Lytechinus pictus: one gene and its partner. The protein of the gene in region 2 interacts with the protein of the main gene of each other region in a biochemical or structural test. Links are inferred from orthologs where the notes say so. Each region holds a gene or a part of one and is shown on either strand. Other genes may lie near its edges.

What was found. The genes of interacting proteins can lie anywhere in the genome.
Region 1: the proteins of son of sevenless homolog 2-like (region 2) and growth factor receptor-bound protein 2-like interact in a test that uses a peptide from one of them, tested with the Drosophila melanogaster proteins (2 studies listed by BioGRID, with this or other methods). The link is inferred for Lytechinus pictus from reciprocal best matches to the Drosophila melanogaster genes Sos and drk.

The regions. Positions count from the first base shown.
Region 1 is NC_087254.1:17,164,850-17,175,955, reverse strand, and holds the start of growth factor receptor-bound protein 2-like, read right to left. Parts: upstream 4,475-11,106; 5' UTR 3,994-4,474; coding exon 3,910-3,993; intron 986-3,909; coding exon 891-985; intron 127-890; coding exon 1-126.
Region 2 is NC_087251.1:44,327,814-44,338,789, forward strand, and holds the start of son of sevenless homolog 2-like, read right to left. Parts: upstream 5,494-10,976; 5' UTR 5,414-5,493; coding exon 5,240-5,413; intron 1-5,239. UniProt on the Drosophila melanogaster protein: Promotes the exchange of Ras-bound GDP by GTP. Functions in signaling pathways initiated by the sevenless and epidermal growth factor receptor tyrosine kinases; implies a role for the ras pathway in neuronal development.

The DNA.
Region 1 (11,106 bases), on a different chromosome or scaffold from region 2:
TTGACAGAGAGGGAGAAGTTTCCTTTACCAGGAGTGCTTTCTGAATCTCTCACCAAAAAGGCACCATCTTCCAAGTCCATAAGTTTCTCCTCTGCCATTTTTCTCGTGAGTCCACCATTATACCATCTGTTTTAGCCAAAGAAAGGCAACAAAGAAAGAGAAAGAATATCAATGGTATGAGAACAAAGATGAAAGACCTCTGGGTTTTGTGGAGATACATGTAGGTATGTATGTAGACAAAGGACAGAACTACATGTATGACGATGTACGTACATGTACGAGTGCTTTTTGGAGATATGTACAGACCTATGCGGGTTTATTGGAAATACATGTATGTACATGTGTAGATCTGATATAGATACTTGACTTTCACTAACTGTCAAGTCATGACATACTAACATCTTCCCCAATAAATATTCCCATATATGTCCATAACGTTCACATACTAACTAATACTATACAGGTAGTACAAGACTTCAAATAAAAAGCTGCAATGGATAGGGGGGGGGGGGTGGCGGCTCCAAGTTACAATTGATATTTTTATGACCCTACTATGAATTGGATGGGGATGTCTGGATTTTACCTTATAAATGCTTAAGACATATATCTTGTAGACCAAAATATTGATGACATCAATTTCAAATGCAATTTCTAATGTCACAACATTTCAATATTACTGTCATATCAAACAAATATACACACATTTAATACTTATAAGCTGTTTAAAGCACTGTTTTCGGGGGGAGGTCTCCTTTTAGACAATTTGTCTAAAATGCATACATAGTGCGCCCATCCATGTTGATATTAAGTCCTGTAACTGCAAGCTGATGTCACATGACAGATCCATTGGACATGTTCAAGCTTCATAAACAAATAAACACATGACTTACTTGTGTTCTTCAGGTTTAAGATAATTTTCTGGCACTAATCCTTTCTTTGGTCCAATGTGAGCAAACAACCAATGCCTGTCTTCTCTCTTTGTTACCTGAAAAAAGAAAAACATTCAAGATAAATTATTTTTGTAGTAGGCCTATAGGGAAATATTTTACTTATCAAATTTGATTACTTTTCCTGTAATTGCAGTGCAATTTGCTCCACATTTTTTTTAAGGATAAGTCCACCCCAACAAAAAGTTAATTTGAATAAAAAGTGAAAAATCCAACAAGCATAACACTGAAAGTTTCATCAAAATCGGATGTAAAATATGAGAGTTAAGATATTTGGAAGTTTCACTTAATTTCACAATACAGTTACCATATATACATCCTGGTCAGTATGCAAATGATAGTGATGACGTCATCCACTCACTACCTTATTTATTTTGTATTTTATTATATATTAAATATATTTTCTAATTGTAATGCTATACATGTTTGGTTCAGTCAAGTTGGTCATAATTGTCAAATCTGTAAACAAGTGGAGCATCTCTGGCAGTCTCACCTGCATCACATGATTCAATATAGCAGCAGTGCTGACTTCGAAAACTACTATTATTCACAAAAAACACCATTCATATGATACAATACTACATTCATTTACAATAAATGACATTTGACCTTGATCGTGCGACCTACGACTTGTCAGTGATACTTGATATCCATATTTATAAACTACATGTATATCTATAAACTGAAAGTTATAACAGGAATCTAATAATTACCTCCAAAATGGCCAAAGTTCAATGACCTTTGAATTTGGTCATGTGACCTGAAACTCAAAGGAGATGCTCAGTGATACTTGATTACTCTTATGTTTTATGAACTAGATCCATACACTTACAGAGTTTATGATGGTAATTCAACAAATACCCCCAACATGGCCGAAGTTCATTGACCTTCGACCTTGGTCATGTGACCTGAAATTCGCACAGGATGTTTAGTGATACTTGATTACTCTTATGTCCAGGTTTTAAGAACTAGACCAATAAACTTTCAAAGTTATGATGGTAATTCAACAAATACCCCCAACTTGGCCAAAGTTCATTGACCTTAAAGGTAAATTCCAGTTTTGGGAATGATCTCAAAATGACTTTTTACAGAATTTAATACAATGATCACCAAAGTGTCTGTTTGTATGAATAAAAAATATGTGCCAAAGGATTCTTGAAGAAATTGTGTAATTGCTGAGAAATAAGCAAAATAAGTGCGGATTCGGTCACTTCCGTCGGGTCTTTATTCCAGCAATAATAATACACTGTCCCACGTGTGCCTATCTGTGTTGGCGATCTTCAGTGTGATAGTTTTTTAGCTAGATATTATGATTTCACAAAATTCAGTTTATGTAACTGTACCAGATCTAGATCCACGATGATATATCAATACTTTACCTTGGTTTTACAGACTTTCTCACAAAATCAGTGTTTGACTGCAACTACGTTCATTTAGCTTTAAATGACATTTGACCTTAATCATGTGACCTGAAACTCGCACAGGATGCTCAGTGATATTTGATTACTCTAATGTCCAAGTTTCATGAATCAGAAATCAGATCCATAAACATTCAAAGTTATGATGGTAATTCAACAGATACCCCAACTTGGCCAAAGTTCATTGACCCTAAATGACCTTTGCCCTTGGTCATGTGACTTGAAACTCAGGCAGGATGTTCAGTAATACTTGATTAACTTTATGTCCAAGTTTCATGAACTAGGTCCATATATTTTCTAACTTATGCTGTCCTTTCAAAAATTTAATCTTCGGTTAAGATTTGGTGTTGACGTCACCGCCGCCCTCAGAAAAGCGTTGCCTGTAGTCTCACTATGCTATGCAGGTGATACAAAAATGAAATAATGTATAATTCAAGAAATAAATACCAAAAGAAATAGTGAGGGACATCATCGATTGTCTAATTTGCATGACACCGAGTTGTAGGCCTACTGTTTTGTGAAAAATACATGTAAACAAAATTATAAAATGTCATAACTTTGTCATTTTACATCCGATTTGATGGAAATTTCAGCATTATGCTAGTTTGATTTTTCTCTTTTTATCAAAATTGACATTTTTCTGGAGTGGACTTGACCTTTATCTAAAGACTGCAGATTTTTACATCACTGTAAATAAATTAGTTACAGACTTTTCTCTTAGTATTTTTGGTCATAAGAGAAAAGACACCAACTATGTTCTGTACTGTATCTGCTAAACACCTTTTGTGTAGAAAAAAAAATGTGGAGAAAATTGCTATGAAATAACAGGAAAATTACTCCTGGTAGCAGCTAAAAGGACACAAGACCCATCTTTCCTCTTCTTGAAACATATTTTGAAACACATCCCGTATCACACCTAGAAATACATGTAGTGGCATAGAAAGTGTTGTTAAATATTAAAGACATTGACAACCAGCCCAGGCCAAGGAGTAATCGAAGAGGATGCGGAAGCGAACCCTTTTTTCCATAGATACTGTAGTTAGCATCGGTCGAACATACATTATGAGCCCTATGGCCGACATCCGTCTGTGTAGCCCTAGTACTTAGTAGTAGGAAAAAAATCTGAAATGTTTTTAAAAAATCCTCAGAAACAGCGGATATATCACTCAGTCTAACTTGTCTACATCTATCCACTGGACTTCCTTTCACACTGTATAATGCACTTCTTCAATGCCAAATAGATTGAAACAGCCTTAGAAACAGGTCAATTCCGATCCAGGGCCCCGTAACACAAATCTTAGCGATTAATTGCTAATATGAAAGAACAATTCTGAATGGTTCCTTGTCAGCCAACTGAACAAAATTCACGTGCAACACTGATCGTGATAGGCCATTTCATTTAGCGATTAATTGCTAACCATTGTATTACAAGGCCAATCAATTTCTGGTGGGGAAATTTGCTCGAAGTCAGCCGGTGTGAAACCACATTACTTTAGGATTACCGCTGCCCTGAATCCTGATCTAACTTGCAATGTTAGGTCTACCTTCAATACTTCGCCTTTCTTGAAGCCAAGTTCATCCTGATCATCCTTTGATGGCGTAAAGTCAAATTGTGCCACGTACTCCATACTTTCCAATAAATCCTGCTCAATGAATGTTCATGTTATACCGTACAGACTGATCCTATTTATTGCAGGTTAATCTGCCAACAACAAAAAAACTCTCACAACAGTCTGACACTGACAGCAGCCTGTCTTGTCTGCCAATGGCAATGCTGCACACGCACTAAATCTACACACTCTTCTCTATGCGCTGAGTGAGACTCCACACAACACAAGAACCACAAGAATAAGTTCATGAGTTTGTACACACGCCTAGGCAGTGTGCGATTCCTACTCTCAACGTCTTCAAAACGAACGTCAACGTAACATTAGTCCTTCGATTGCTGTTTTCCAAAATGTGAAGAATCTATACAGGTCCCACTTGAAGAAACTTTATCATGCCTTATTGTTTCTGAGTCGTTTTTTTGTAACTTTGTTGCGAAACTTCTCGGTGTTTCCCGATCCCGTACCGTGTTGATCACCTACGTAATTTGCGGAAGTTAAAATCGTGTGCATGTTGCGCGCGTGGCGGCCCGATCAGCGCGCACTACCTCGTACCTGTACCCGTGAACTCAAAATTTATAAAAGCGAAAATTACCGAGAACTTTCCGTCCTCAAAAAGGACCCAGAAAGTACGTAGCATAATAAGAAACCGAAACAAAACATACCAGGAAAAAACACGAACAAAGAAAATAGAAGAAACAAACAAATAGCGTAGGAGGAGGAGGAAGAAGAAGAAGAAGAGTGATGTCACTTTTCAGGTATATATATATATATATATTATAAGTCTTCTTTATATATATAAATATATATATATATATATATATATATATATTATATATATATTATATATATATATATATATATATATATATATACATATATACATATATACATATATATATATGTATATATATATATATATCATATATTTGTATATATGTAAATATATGATATATATATAATTATATATACAGTGCGTATAAAAAAAACGGGACAGTTTTGAAAAGTCTATAAAAAAATTTGTTTCAAATTATGATATCTATATTTTGATGTTAATAGATGCTCTGAAATCCAATCTTTGAAATATGCCCCCCCCCCAAAAAAAAAAAAATGTCATGCTTTAGCGAACACGGGACGTTTTAGTCGGGGGTTCAAAGAGAGGCTTGCGCCAAAATGGCAGAAATGAGAAATTTGCATGATAGACTTCTTGCTAATTATCAGACTTCCTCTTAACCTTTTCATTATCTTTGCCATGATTTTCGAATATGCTGTCAAATTTCATTTACAAATTTACTTATTTACTTGAATTATTTTGGTTTTTTTTCATTGAAACTTCTTTAACATTTGAATTTCCTTCATAAGTAAGAAAAGAAGACTTTTTGTCAATCCAAGCATGAAGATTGCATTATAATTGGGAGAACTTGTAATTATTCAAATCGTATTTTATTATGAGAAACAAATTATGTTATGGTACCTTTAAATAACATGAATCCTATTTTCAAGGGATTTTTTAGACCAAGTTTAATTATGCGCTTGACAGGCCGACAAACGGGAAAGGATTCACGCCGACAAACAGGAAAGGATTCACGTCTTTCAATGGCAATGGTGTATTTAGTCAATTTTGAAGGAGCTATAGATATCTATAATGGCAGGGGTCCGTTGCAGAAAGAGTTGCGTTTAAACGCAAGTCAAAAAATCAATCGCAAGTCCCAAATGTGCGCTGATGATTGGTTGAAAATCAAGTTACGCATGATTTTTCGAGTTGCAATTGATTGCAACTCTTTCTGCAACGGGCCCCTGATCGGATGAAATGTATTTAAAAAAGTAGTGAGCGAGCAGGCAAAAATTTCCACTTTTTAAATAAAATATCAAATTTTGTGATATATTTTGACATAATATTCAGGAAAGAAATCATATTTCACTTTCTATCTTTCCTTTTATTTCCTTTCCACTTTTTTTTATTGGGGGGGGGGGGGGACGCCCCGAGCCCCCGCCCATCTGTATGCCACTGTTCAAAATCACCATAACCTTTGTAGCACACAATGAAAGGATTTGAAAAAATACACACTCTCCCATACTTCGGTTGATTTTTTTTTTTTTGCTTAAAGAAGGAAAATTTAAAGCTAGAAGAGAACATATTAAAAAGAAACAACAGACAAATTCAAGCAAATAAACAGATTTGAAAATGAATTTTGACGGCATAATTCGAAAATTATGGCAAAGATAATCTGCTGATTAGCGAGAAGTCCGATCATCATTATCATTTTATGCCATTTTGGCGCAAGCCTCCTTTTTTAGCCCCAGACAAAAACATTCCGTGTTTGCTAAAGCATGAACAAAACTAAATTTTTTTTAATGGCATTTGAAAGATAAGACTTCAGGGGCGGTATTCTGAGGTCATTTTATCTTTAAAATATTTTATTTTATCTCTTAAAACGAAATTGGTATTCTGAGATGACATTTTATCTCTCAGATAAAATTTACAATTTTATCTTGCATAAAAAATTTATCTTGCGTAACTATAGATGATACGCATCAGAACAGTGCCTGCGTAGACGATACCGATCGCGTATCTGGGTATTGCAACGCGGATGATGTGCTTGCGCCCAAGTTACTTTGAAGAAAAAAATAAAATAAACTTAAAAGAGGGTAGGGGCTATTTTATCTCCGCGACGTTGATTTCACCAATATTTCTAAAATGTTGACATAAAAATGAAGAAAAATTATATATTTATTGAGAATAACACCTTAACGTTATTCCTGTACAATCAGAAGTATTTCATAAGACTTGTCTTGACTAATATTGTCTTTGATATGTTGCTTGAAAAGATGTGATATAGACTTCGAAAAAAAATGAGAGTATTGTCCTTTTTGTTAAAAAGAAATATCTGTAAAGACGAGCAAGCGTATAGTGCAAGCGTATTTGAAGTCGATAAATTAACGCAATCTCACCCCTTTGCCACACCTCCTGGCGGAATGGATTTCAATTGGTTTAAGAGTGACACGAGAGAGCTAAAGCGCGTTTCTAGTTGGATATTGATTAAAAAGTAGGTGTGTCTTACATAGATAAAATGAAGATAAAATTGCTCTCAGAATACCAATTCGGAGAGATTTTAAGGGTATTTTATCTCACTGATTTTAACGGAGATAAAATATTTTATTTTATCTGAGATAAAATGGATCTCAGAATACCACCCCAGAGCACCTATTAACACCAAAATATAGACATCATAACAAAAATTTTATAGACCTTTCAAATCTGTCCCGTTTTTTTAATACGCACTGTAGGCCCTATATATATATATATATATATATAGTATATGTCTCATGATGAGAAAGAGACACGTACATATCTCAACAACAAATTAATGCGAGCGCGAATGCGGGCTGAATTTTTTTAGTATACTGACCTAAAAACAGGAAAAGGTACCTGTTTAGGACTGTTTGTAGTATAACTCGGGGAGGATACATATCTCACTACACAGATCAATGCGAGTGCCGAGAGAGAGATAGAATTTTGTTATATTCGGAGCTGAAAGCTCGATATTCTAAATATAGATTAAGATGGGTATCTAAAAGAACAATAGATAAGAGCGCGAAGTGCGCAAGCTGAAAATTTTGATATTTCGATCTGAAAAAATTGACAGTTCAATGGACGTTTTTAATAAAGAACAATTAATATATCCAACAAAAGATCTTTTGGGGTTTAATATAGAAGTGAAAACGGCACATTATTCACCTATTTAATCATGCGAGAGCGAAGCGCGAGCTGAATATTTTTATATTCCAATCTGAAAAGCGGACATTCAATTTGAGCACGATTTTATATAAAGAACGAGTTTTTGTATTTCAAACTCACTTGCCGATTTCTATGTAACATTACAATGTGATTTTATTTTTGCACATCTGGAATTATGGGGGGGGGGGCAAAACAATATGTTTGCCCCCCCCTGGTGGGGCGATCACCCCGCTGCCCCCCCCCCCCCCCACTCCCGGATTGACGCCTCTTGATGTAGACATGATGAGATGATTATCTGGATGGCACTTTAAACTTCCATAATTAAGAACTCGTGAATTTTCATGAAAAGGATTATCTCAATCTATAACAGGCCTATTTGCATGACCGTGAAATGGTGCTATTAAGCACCATTTCAGCCTATGATCGCCTATATGTATCTCATCAGTAAATGACTGGCAATGCGAGCACGAAGCGCTTTTTTTCATACTGACATTAATTTTTTTTCCAAGTCTTCGATCCCGCGGCCCGGCCGCCCTCACCTATATTATGTACTCGTCTTCCTCCTCTTATATTTTTCTTCTTCCTTCAATTCTCCTCTCCTTAATGACCCTTCAATATCTGTTTCTCCCCCCCCCTCTTTTATTTTTTTGTTGCGCCGTTAATAGGCCCCCCGGGGGGCGGCCCATGGGGCGGCCCAACTGTTAGTTGAGCTCTAGATCAGTGGGGGGGGGGGGGGGGGGGGCGGTGGCGGCGGCCCCTCGCCCTCCTGGATCCGCCTAGCGCACTCCGGACTCAAGCTGGATTGCGCGCGCTACGATCTAGCGCGAGCTGAACAATATTACGTCATTCAAAATGTCTGCGCCCTTGTCATAATATAATCTGAATGCAGAATTTTTGGAGGATGTTGTATTGAGGTGATTTAAAGAAAGTATCTGCAGTATAGTTAGTAGCCTTCTCTCTAAAGCACCCTGTTGGGGACAACATGGGGAGTAGTGCTAGTAGCAGCGCCAGTGGCAGCGAAAGTGAAGAAGAAAACAGCGATTATGAGACGGTAAGTTTGATTCTCCGTCAACTTCTCGAACTCGGCATCCCTCGGCCCTGGCTGCGCAGCTGCGCCAGCGCCAGCCGCCGCCGCTACGCCAGCTGCTCGCCTCGTTTAATTCATGCGCATGAGGCAATGTAGTCGAGTTGAGGACGTACCAATGATGATGACTTTTAGAATAATGAAATATATGATGGAGGGACCTAAACTTAAGCTACGCACTTTGTTTTCAAACAATAAAAACTATCCCAATTTTAATATTTCAACAAATATCTTTCACTAATTTGTGGCAAACATAATTTCTAGATCATTAACCAAGTCCAAGTCCAAGAAGAAAATATCGCAAAACTCACAGTCACTAATACGAAAATCCCGCCGTGTTTTCCGAACACCTCTTGATTTCGCCACCCGATGTAGAAGGGGTCCTATTATTATAGGTTAAAATGATATTTAAGCGAATATAACTCCAAAATTCCAAACAGTTGTTGGTTTCTCTGCATTTAGAGATTTACTGCAGCCTCTGTAGAAAAAAATTGAATAGGAATCGTTCGTCACTCTGCAGTCACAGTTCCACACACAGAGTGCGCATTTGCCATAAAAACTGTATGCGTGATGAGTGGTGCGTAGCTTTAGGACCCGCGCAGCTTTACTCCTTTAGGACCCCCTACCATACTTCTTCATCATTGACGTCTTGACACTCTTCCCATAGTCGCAGAAGAGAAGGACCAAAAAACAAAGATGGATTTCCCTCGGAAATCCATCTTTTGAAACAAAAATCACTTGAATTTTATGAATTTCATTGATTTTTACACCTTCCTACGCCTAATGTGTAGCCATAGGAAGGTTTTAAATATTATAATATAAAAATGTGAAAAAATTAAGGTTTCTTACCTAACTGATGCCGAGTAGACCCCTCGATCCACATGTAAACAACGTAAGTACAATAGTGTCGACCCTTGAACCGCTTATGGCGCACGGCCAATATGGGAGACTCTCTCCAATAGGGGAGACAATCTCCCACATTGGAGACTTGCTTTGCAAAAGGACAAAAGAAACAACACCAACAAAAGCAAGATTTTTTCCACCCAAAATTTTGTCTCACTGAGGTCAGAAGCACATTTGTATTGTGTGATTGACAAAAATCCTTATCAAAACAAAAGTAGACGGTGAATTTTTAAAGTAGACGGTGAAAAGGGGTAATTTTTCATGAGGATTTGCCGCCAAGTTAATCCTTTTGCAGCAAATGTAAACAAAGGAAATTGGACTCCAAAACTGGAGACTGTCTCTGAAATTGGATACCCAAATTCTTTACAAAAGTCTCTGATATTGGAGATAATCTCCCACATTGGAGACAGTCTCCAATATTGGCCGTGCGCATCTACTGATGTATGACGTACTTCCGGCTAGCGATGCCGTTCGCAAATGTTAAAATTTATCATGTAATTATAGATAATTAGTATAATACTAATAATTATTTATAATCAAGTAATAAATTTTAGTATTTGTGAAATAATCATTTTTATCTATAAATTGTTCGTCAAAACGGTATTGCTAGCCGGAAGTACGCCATACATAAGCGGTTCAAGGGTCGACGCTATTGTACTTACGTTGTTTACATGTGGATCGAGGGGTCTACTCTGCATCAGTTAGGTAAGAAACCTTAATTTTTTCGCATTTTTATATTATAATTTTTAAAACCTTCCTACGCATTAGGCGTAGGAAGGTGTAAAAATCAATGAAATTCATAAAATTCAAGTGATTTTCGTTTCAAAAGATGGATTTCCCTCGGAAATCCATCTTTGTTTTGGTCCTTCTCTTCTGCGACTATGGGAAGAGTGTCAAGACGTCAATGATGAAGAAGTATATTTCATTATTTTAAAAGTCATCATCATTGCGTCCTCAAGACTATTAAGGCAACAGCATGCCATAGGATCCAAATCTTTATCATATGGTAGGGGGTCCTAAACTTAAACTTTAAGCTACGCACCAATTTTGTTATTCTACAGACTAGGCTGCAGCTGCAGTAAAGTCTAAATGCGGAGTCTCCAGAGAAAACCCGAATTTTTGGCCGAAAACTCACAACTGGTTGGAATTTTGGAGTTGCATTCGCTTTAGACAGCTGGCAGCCGTCTGTTTCGAGGAGTTTTTTAAACATTTTTATTATTTTTTTAATTTCTCCTCGTACACAGACGGCTCGCTATTGTGCAGCCACCATTAGGGGGTTAACAATGCAAAATCCCCCCGTTGGGGCTCATCGATTTTTGTCTTTATTTCATAAAAATATATAAAAAGAACTGTACCAAAATAGAGATTATTATTCCGTTTTGGCCTGAAATGCACCAAAACGGGGAAAAAT
Region 2 (10,976 bases):
GAGCAATCTTCTTATTATTACTACCAGCAAAGGGGTGAGAGGAGGATGGATGGAAAGGGAGACAGAGGATTGAGAGAAAGCAACAGAGAGAGAGAGATAGAGGCAAACTGGATGATATGTGACGAGCATTATAACATGTACTTCTCATTACTACTGGCCAAGGAGAAAGAGGGGGATAGATGGAAGATGAAGGATATCAAGGATGGAGAGAGAGCAAGAGAAAGATAGAGAAAGGGATAGAGGAAGACTGGATGATATGTGATGAGCAGTCTCCACGTTACTTCTGACGGAGAGAGAGATAGATAGAGGACAGAGGAGATACAGAGAAAGAAAGACAGAGGATGATAGAGGCAGACTGGATGATATGTGATGAGCTGTCTCCACGTTACTTCTGACGTAGGAGAGAGAGATAGATAAATGGAGGGCAGAGGAGATACAGAGAAAGAAAGACAGAGGGAGATTGAGGAAGACTGGATGATATATGATGAGCAGTCTCCACGTTACTTCTGACGTAGGAGAGAGAGATAGATAAATGGAGGGCAGAGGAGATACAGAGAGAGAAAGACAGAGGGAGATAGAAGCAGACTGGATATGTGATGAGCAGTCTCCACATTACTTCTGACGTAGGAGAGAGAGAGGGAGAGACAGATGGAGGGCAGAGGAGATACAGAGAAAGAAAGAAAGAGGGAGACTGGATAATATGTGATGAGCAGTCTCCACGTTACTTCTGATGTAGGAGAGAGAGAGAGAGATGGAGGGCAGAGGAGATACAGAGAAAGAAAGACAGGGAGACTGGATGATATGTGATGAGCAGTCTCCATGTTACTTCTGACATAGGAGAGAGAGATAGATAAATGGAGGGCAGAGGAGATACATAGAAAGAAAGACAGAGGGAGACTGGATGATACATGTATGTGATGAGCAGTCTCCATGTTACTTCTGACGTAGGAGAGAGAGAGAGAGAGAGATGGAGGGCAGAGGAGATACAGAGAAAGAACGAGATAGAGGCAGACTGGATGATATGTGATGAGCAATCTTCTTCTTCTCATTACTACTGGCACACATCCAATATCTTGCATACTACATGTAAATGTGTAGCATGTATGTATGTATGGGATGATGAAGCCGCGACGGCAATAGATTGATTGGAGTGAGATTCACTCCCAGGGATGCTGCCCGGAGCCAGGGGCTAGTTTCAGTTTCTTTCCCAGAAACCATAGTAAAATCCCTAAACAAAGAAAACGACACTCAAATTTCATGCGAAAGGGCAGGAGGGGACGCACTTGTAGTATGGCAGGCTCGCTGGTCGAGAGACAGCAGAATATCAAACTGCTTGCTTGTGCTAGATCTCGCCTCAGTGGTGTATCAGTTGTGAATGAAGTGAGTTTTAGTGGGTACAGGTGGTTTAAGGTTTTATAGAAAAGTTCTACAAGGGGCTTCACTCTGACTATTGGTTTGTTATATTATGAGAGCAGGAAAATAATGATCAAAATAATAAAATTACAAACTGCCAATGGCGGCATAAATACAAAGTTTAATCCCAGAATCATGAACATTAATTGCCATCAGTTAATGTCTGCAAAGAGGAATTACAAATTTATTGCCAATATTCTTACCCTATTCAAAGAGGAAAATTAGCTTTGACCTAAATATATACATGAAAAACAAGAGTCAAACATATTTCATTGGAACCATTGCCATGATATTCAATTTCTAAGCAAACTTTGGGCCATGAAATGTATAGATGAAAAAATCACAATCAATTTGTAAAATCAAAAAATACAAAATTATATATACTACTTTGTATGATAATGGTAATTCTAGCAGAAATAACTCAAAGAGCAGCTTTTTGATTTGGTTGGGTATCATTTTCAATCCTGATGAAATGAAAATGTGCAAAAACAAAATTGTGTTTTATGAACAAAATTAATCATCAACAAAACCAAAACGTTCTTTAAATGCAACTCCATCTTTCATATCTCTTGAATGGACTAAGGTATTTAATACTCTCAAGGAAATGAAGAACAGAAATTAATTCAAATTGATTTCACAAACGCTCTGATATGGAAAAAAGGTAGTTACACTGTCAGCCACAACACTGTTCTCCAAGAAGGCGAGAGTACAATTCAAACATTTGGTAAGAAAGGGAAAACCCCTACATTTCTCTCCAATCTAGTAGCTGCCCTGGAATTTCTCTAATTACGTATTCTACATTCTGGTCAGCAAAACATTCTGCTCATTTTTGTGCTATTGATACAGATTATGTAACATTGTAGATAATGCTACAACAGAATTCATAACAAAATATGTATTACAAAGGTTAGAGAGATCAATTTATCTAGTTAATCTATTTCAAACACCCTTCTAACTGTTCTAAGCTTAGATTAGAAAAGCTTTCTTAAAGACCTGGGGGGTGTTTCACAAAGACAAAGATTTAAGTATGACTTAAATCGCTAACGCGTATCTGAAATGCAACGCGCAATGTAATTGATCAATATGCAGTAGTGCACGTCCTCTTCGCATGATCTGACCAATGCGGTCATGCCTTTTCAAATGCCGCAACTAGGCATTTAAGTGCGACTCTAAGTCATACTTAAATCTTTGTGAAACACCCCCTGGGGGCATTTCATGAAACAAATAGTGATTTTTACTAACTATTGTTATAAGCTACTATAAACCTTTCTATCTGATTGGCTGAAAGCAAAGTAATCGACAAAAATCACAGAAAAAACTTTTCATGAATGTTCCCAGCATAATTACAATCAAGTAGGTAATGTTCCTATCGAGATGCAGAGCAAAGTACATTTAACAATTTTCTTCTTTCAGAATAAAAATGAATTTGTTATTAGTGCAGAACTTTGACCCATTAAAAAAAAATTCATGCTCGATCATTTATTCTTATCACGGTGGGGGAAATGATATGTGCAAAATTGTGCATATACTTTAATCTGGGGGTACAAAAATAAGTCAGTTATAATACTTAGACCCATGCCACAACCCCACATGGACTTTAATTATAAAGGAATTTTACCACAAATGTTCATCTTATTAACAGTGAGCACATAATGTGGGGTTTAGGAGAGTAAGAAAGGAAGAAGTGAAGCAATGTGATGATTCATCAAGTTTTTTAAAGAGAAAGACGATGTCTTGAACATGTAGGAAGATTTGTCCTTTCCTTATATTTCTGAAAAATTATCATGCTACCCCATTATATCATTACATGGAGCCAACAATATGACATACTGAATCCACATTAATATTTTCTGAAAATATACATTTACTGAAAAATATCAATTTCATATTGATAATCTTTATAATTTACTCTTTATTTCATAGAGTAATTTCATTCCTTTTTAGTCATTACAATATACAAACACAAACCTCCCCAATTAATAACCAAGGTTAAGAAAAAATGTTTCCAGGAAATTCAGACATTCCAAAACAAGCAGTGAATTTTTAGCTTTGCAAAATACCTGGAGCGTAGCATGCAATTATTGCAGGATATTTTCTCAATACAAACGATGTGTCTGTCCTCGCAAGTGCAAATACATGCAAATGTACTTCTCTTTATTAATAATCTCTTCTGCAAATATGAAAGATTACTTAACTCTAAATATTTTTATTAATATTATTCTTAATCATTCTACATGTTTGACTACTGTCTAGACAAGGGTTTATGCTTTTTTTTTAATATCTCTATTAAAAAAGTTGAATATTGGTTTTGGGGTGGAGGTTGAAACAAACAGGTAAAATATAACTGAAAATTAATAAGCAAATGGACAATCCATTCTCAAGTTGTTCAGTTGACAATTAAAAATGCTCCATAAGCAGGCCCTCACACCTCAGCAATCTTTAGGAAATAGAATAACTTATTAAATAGAAATGTACAAATATCAGCATGGTTACTATGATACAAGTTCTGAGATTTTTCTGTCTGAGAAATGGTGGTAAATCACATGGTCATTCCTTAAAGCTGGTTTTTCTTTTCTAACCAAGTGATAGATGAGTGGAACAGTCTCCCAGAAGATGTAGTTACTGCTTGTTCAGTGATTGCATTTAATAGACTGGATAAGCATTGGGAGAAGATTGCCTATGATTTTGAGTCATTGTTGTGTGTTTTTCATGGAATTTTTTGCTGTCTACAATACCCCTGCCACCCCCCCCCCCTGCCAACACAAGTAGTGCATCTAATTTTGTCTGAAGGAGAGCAGCAATAGACATCCTACTTCGATCGTTGAACGGGCTTAGTCCTACAACATCGTTGGAGTGAACTAAACTAGTCTACAGTATATGGTGAATAAATCTTTACTTTCAAATACATACTTGTATGAATTATTTTTGTGGGGCAGCTAAACATTCACTGATACATTTCTAATTTATGAGCAATTTACTGAAAAATTAAAACAATTACAAAAAATTAATACATGAGGTATATCTGCAAGAAGTATTTGTGCGAAATTCTTTACCAAAAAAAAAGAGCGAACCCTGTTATCAGCAACCAAAATGAAGACAATTGAATTCAGATCAGTGATGCAACATAACATGAGAGCTCCCCACAAAGGAAGCCCCTGACTAGCAAATTTGGTTTGATAATTTTTGATTACCTACAAATAAAATTAATAACTTCCTAATCTTTTATCGAATTATGCTCACATTCTGTTTCTCCTATTGTCTGATTTATCACAGGCAGCATGATACTAAGAGAGACTTCCCTCAAATTAAAAGTGATAAAGTCTGCTTGCTACTTGAATTATAGTAGGCAGACCTCATACGGACGGACGGACGTACAGTAATCTTCAGAATCAGCATTAATACTTCTTACCACACTGGAGTAAGAACAGGTGCACAAAAATACTTTCTGAAGAAATTGACCCACCCCAAATATATACATGAATATATTAATGTATATATTTTTCAAACTAGTGCTATCTTCTATGACATAGCTACAACAATTTCAATGGAAGGGATTCAAAGTGAAAGAAAAATGGAAGACAATTGAAAATGTATTTTTGTTAATCATCATTATACATATTTGATTTCAAGGAATATCCCTAACAATTCAATCACTCCTCGGTAGTGTTTCCTGAAGCAAATAGTCAAGAATTTTCACTGACTAATTTGTTCGAAGCCAATCAGATGCAAGGATTTCAGTAGCTTTTAACAATTTAAGTGAAAATCACTAACTCTTTGTTTCATGAAATGCTCCTTTGGGTATATCTGCACGAAAACCCAAACTCACCTTCAAGAGCTGGTGGATCTTATCCACCGGGAGGACAAGGGGTGCCTTCTTGCGCCCCTTCTCCAGAGCCAGCCGGGCGTCGTTGATGGCCCACTGGTCGATGGGGCGAGGGAAGGTCTTCTGGACCCTGTCCTCGATGTCGTGGACGTTGTGGGGCTGGACGCTGCACAGCATGTTGAGGAGGCAGATGATGAGGCTTTCGATGTATTCCAGGGAGTCCTCATCGGCCTGCAGAGTGGAGTGGACCTGCTGCTGCACCTGTACAGAGGGTGGGAGGAGACAGCGGAAGAGAGATTATTTTATTTATTATTTTATTTTTTTTACCGTGGTCACCCTTTCAGTTATGAAAAGTGCTAAACAGTCCCTTTATCACAAAGTAAAACACGTCAAACATCAATTCGTTAAGTACACTAATAACAAAAAATTAACGAAGCATAATACTGAAATGAGAGAAATGAAGACTTAAATACTATTTAACAAATATTCTATGTGGGGGTAATCAAATTGCAATAATTTGAAACAAATTAAGTAGATTTAACTAGTGGAACGCCTCTGGCAGTCTCGCCTGCATTACACGTTTTGATATAGCAGCAGTGCTGACTTTAAAAACAGCTATTGAATAATTATTCAAAAAAAAAACATTCATATGATAATAAAACATTATGTCCATTGACCCAAAATGGCCTTGTGACCTGAAACGTGCACAGGATACTCTGGGATACATGGTTGCTCTTATTTCAAAGTTTCATGAACTAGATCCATAAACTTTTAAAGTTACAATGACAATTCCACAAATACCCCAAATATAACCAAAGTTTGTTGACCCTAATTGACCTTTAACCTTGGCCATGTGACCTGAAACCTGCACAGGACCTTTAGGGATACTTGATTACCCTTATGTCCAAGTTTCAATAACTAGGTCCATATACTTTCTAAGTTACGATGACATGGTTAAGATTCCAATGTTGACCAACGCCGCCACCGCCATCGGAAAAGCGGCGCCTATAGTCTCACTCTGCTATACAGGCGAGACAAAAATCACGATTGAAAGTGAGAGAGATGGGGAGAGGGTGTGCTGTTAACTGAATTCTAAGACTAGAGCATGAACTTTTTTTCTTAACCATAAATTTCCTACATGAATTTAAACAATACCAGCAATGAACGTAATTTCTAGCTATTTGTTGTTAATGTACAATTTAAAAAAAACCATGAAATGTGGAGGTACCATACATGACTTCATGTATAAATCAAATAAATAATAGTGTTCTATAGCATTCACCTGCCAATCCATTTCGAAATCATTTTATGACAATACCACACCATGGAATTAATAACAATAAAGAGTACTGGGGCCCGTCTTACAAAGAGTTGTGATTGATCCGATCAACCGTAACTATGGAAAGCCAGCAAAGTCAACATATAAAATGCATGTTTGTTCAAAAAAAATTCTAGTAATGAATGTATATTCGTAAATTGATTGATTTCTTGACAATTTGGTGTGTTCTCCCTTGTTTAAAAAGGACATTTTGCAAATTTCCTGTAGAAAAAATTATGACACTGGTGGATTTCCATAAAGTTACGATTGATTGGATCAATCACAACTCTTTTTTTGGAGGGGGCCCTGGCATTACAACCAAATACAAAGCCAAATTCAGTTTGACTACATTTGAGTGACTTTACATTTGCATAGCAATTTAATATCAATAACCAATGAAAATCATCGATTGTTTGGGTCACATACATATAAAAGCAAATGGTTGTAACTATTGCATAATGTAATTTTTAGGATTTGAGACAAATTAATATACTATGTATTTAATATTCATAGACCTAGTTTACATACATACAAGAGAACTTTTGCTGAGCTAGCATCATGATCATTTTTAGATGGTGCATGCGATCTACAAATCTTCATTATTATTAATATCATCATTAATTGATGGCCATAATTTCTTACTTTTATTTTAGTATTCATACAAATTCTTGCAAATTGCAATATTGCACATTTTTCATGACATCAGACACACAGCATATATACATACATGTACATAACAAAAAAAATATTGGACGAGCCTTGTAAATAATCTTCAATAACAAGATTCCATGCATATTTTCACAGTTCTCTAAACTTGAGCTTGAATCCAATTACCGGTAATACAAATATTTGGGCAAAATCAAATGTAACAATTGATGTGAATGACAATTTAGACTCTTTGTTGAAAGAGCATAAAGACATTCTAGTCGAGAACTAGTCTACAAATGTAGACCCACATCTGCAGTGTGTGTACCACAGCTGATTCAAGGAGTCTGCATAGCAGACTAGGTCTACTGTGGCTGCAGATGGCTCACTTTGCTCGTCCTTTCAGGCTGGTTTGCGAAGCAAACCAGCAGCAGCGCGCTTCGCGCACTGAGATCCCACCTCACGAGCCATTCAGAGTCTGCATAGCAGACTAGTCGAGAACAGGGACTCCCTTCACACTAGTAGAGTAGTGTACTTTATAGAATATCAAGAAGTTTAGAGTAATGTACAGTAAATATGCAAGTAAAATATTGAAAATAGTAGTAGAAATCTAGGTAAAATAAATAGATGTGATGTGATGATGACCAATGAGTCATAATGGTACTTTATCAGTCAGAGCTTGCTCAATTTAAGGATTCTACCAGGGGAGTGTTTCATGAAACAAAGTCATGTTCACTTACAACTGCTATAAGCTACTGAAATCCTTGCATCTGATTGGTTCAGAACATATAGTCAGTGGATATTGGCATTTTGTACTCCTTGAGATGGCAATGTATTGAACATCCTAAATATTTACTGAAACATCCTGCTGCTACATGTAGTTAACTCTTGATTGCAAACAGAGATGAAGCCCAAGAAATATATGGTTTCCAGTTTCTTCATTTAAAAAACAATCTTGATGTTGTTTATTAATTGCTGGGCCAGAAATAGCAGGGTAATTTGAAAATTTTGACTGGTGAAGCCTTAGGTGGTTTCAGACTGCCTCGAAGTTCGCCAGTTCCAGGTATTCTCTGATCGGGAAATTTACCCCGATCAGAAAATACCAGGTATTTTGGCGGTGTGAAAGCAAACTACGCGTAATATCCCCGAAAGAAAATACCCGATAAATAGTAGGTACTTGGCGAAATTACGAGAACTTTCGCGGGGATTTTTCCAAGGTCGTGGGTATTTTGGCGGTCTGAAAGCAAATTACGGGAACTTTTAGCCCAGCATGTCGTTGGGTGCGGCGCCGTGCATGGGTTGCTGCTGGGCTAGTGATTTTGAATTTTGCGCCTTGCTGCTTATCAGACCATACTGCGCATGCTCGTAACTTCAGGAACTTATCCTGAAGGGTATGTTTCAGGGCGGTGTGAATGCAGGAATAATTAATGGGTATTTTTCAGCCTAAAAAAGTTCTCGTAATTTAACGGGGATTCTTGTGATTGAGGCGGTTTGAAACCACCTCTTGTGACCATATTCATTGCCTTAAAAAGTCCACCCACTGATTACTTCACCAAGAGAGTTATGATACATGTATGCCTAGTAGAAAGCCCTGGTAATCCAGGCAATGAATTCATTTGAAACGGCAAGGACATCCACAAGTTTCACAAGGCCATGGTCATTCTCGGAATCGAATAGGGCAGTGCCACAGTCACACCGGTGAAACCGACTCCGCATTGACCGAAGCCATTGCATGCATCCCTAATAGCAAGTCATCTGTCAGTTTGGGGTGGTTTCATCATGTGAATGTGCCATTAGCTTGTGCATGTAGTAGGAGGTAAAGGACAGGGCCCTGTTTCATAAAACTTGTAACACAAATAACAAATTTGCAATAACAGTTTCAAGCTACCGAAATCGATCAATCTGATTGGCAGATAGTAAACTTGTTAAGGAAGTTGTACATTTGTTATTTAATATAACTTGTCTTTATGAAACGGGACACAGGAGTAGTTTCACTTATTCTGAGCAGGCCAGAAGACTAGTTCCTGTTGCAATATGGAAATATTTAGGTCGTTTCCTCCTGGTTTATGGGACCTGGTTTTCGTTGCAAAAGGTGAAAACTTTCTTGTTATGGTAACTTTGCCATAAGTGGTATCTACCATTGGAAACACTGATTTTTTTTATTGGATGCCAAGTCCCGTTTCCATGGTAAAAACCATCACAGTAAATGTAACTTTGTTTAAAGCAGGGCCCTGGACCTTACTCCAATGAGGAAGATCTCAGACGATTTTATTCTACATTGTAGATGTGTAATACTCGTTAACTTTCTATCGAGCATTGGTAGTCACTGAATGACTTAAATCTTTGCTCACTCTTACCAATATGTATGTAAGCCTATTGGAAAACTGGTTGAATTTCAAGCGTGCATGTCTAGCCACAAACTATAGCATTTCGTCATACAATGTCCTAATTCTGTGCATGCGCTTGTCGCATTGCCCAGTTACTAAAACGAGTCATTACGCAATTAATTCATACAGTGGTTTGTACGAATGGTGTGAAAGCGCTGATAGTACCAGTCTGCGAAGCCTCCGTTGCGTGCTCGTTCTTTTACCAGTCTCCTACCCTACAGGTATAAACCATTGTTTATTGTTGATCCAGCGATCATAAATCATTACACACAATCATTTCTGTCTGCCTTTGCTCAAAGGCTTGGTGGGATTAGAGGAGTCCAAACTATCAATTATATCATTCAAGTATTCTACCCCCTTTGCCATCACCCAAACAGAAACTAGGCCAAGTTGCAACAAGCATTATCATGAGAGTTCTATCATATTGTCTACAACACTGGTATACGGCCTGTCTGTTTTTAAAGGTAATGGTAATATGTCCTTACTGCATGCTCTACACACATGTACTACATATGATCACATGATGCTAATAATATCACATGTTTGGTTATCGGTCGAAGAATTGGGTCCAGCCAAAATATGCTTTAGGTTTAAGTGCTGTTGTACATGTATACCAAACCTTTCTTCTGAAACTATCTTTCACAAGATATGGGTCTGTTTTGGCAGAATTAGGGTTATAATATATGTATCATACAATAGCGTAATACAGATTTTCTGTTGTCATACATGTCACTGATTTTACCACAATCAAGCAAAATGACCAAGTGTTTATTATGAATAAACAAAGGAAGCAAATATATATATATATATATATATATATATTACTTTTAGGTATTTCCCAGGTATTTCCAAGTATTCCTGGATATTTCTTCATATATTGTATTTCCTCAGTATGGTAATTTTCCAGTACAGCCAAGTGCCATCTTTCTTCATTATTCACAATAGGCTATAATAAATATTTGTTTATATTCTAAACTCCCAATCAATTCATTGTATATTCATTGCCTACTACATCACTTTTGTTATCATTTTCATGTCAACTTTGGAATGAAATTGATTTATATATTTACCATTATAATCATTCATTATATAACTATTATAGTTGTTATGATTATCACTAGTATCACCCCCACCCTCATTAATAAAATAATCATCACAATCTTTTATGACATCTGGGTGAATTCCAATTCATCTTTCAGATTGTTATCCAAAAACAAAAAAAGAGTAACCCATATTTGTTAAGGTCAGGTGGGAGCCAATGGGTGAATAATAAGTGAATTTCTAATGACCTGTCTCCTACACTTTGTCTGGTGATATGGTGAGGAGAGCTCGTGTCTACCTTGGGTCTATAAGCCTACGATACCCTGGATCGGCTGGTCAGTAGACAGAC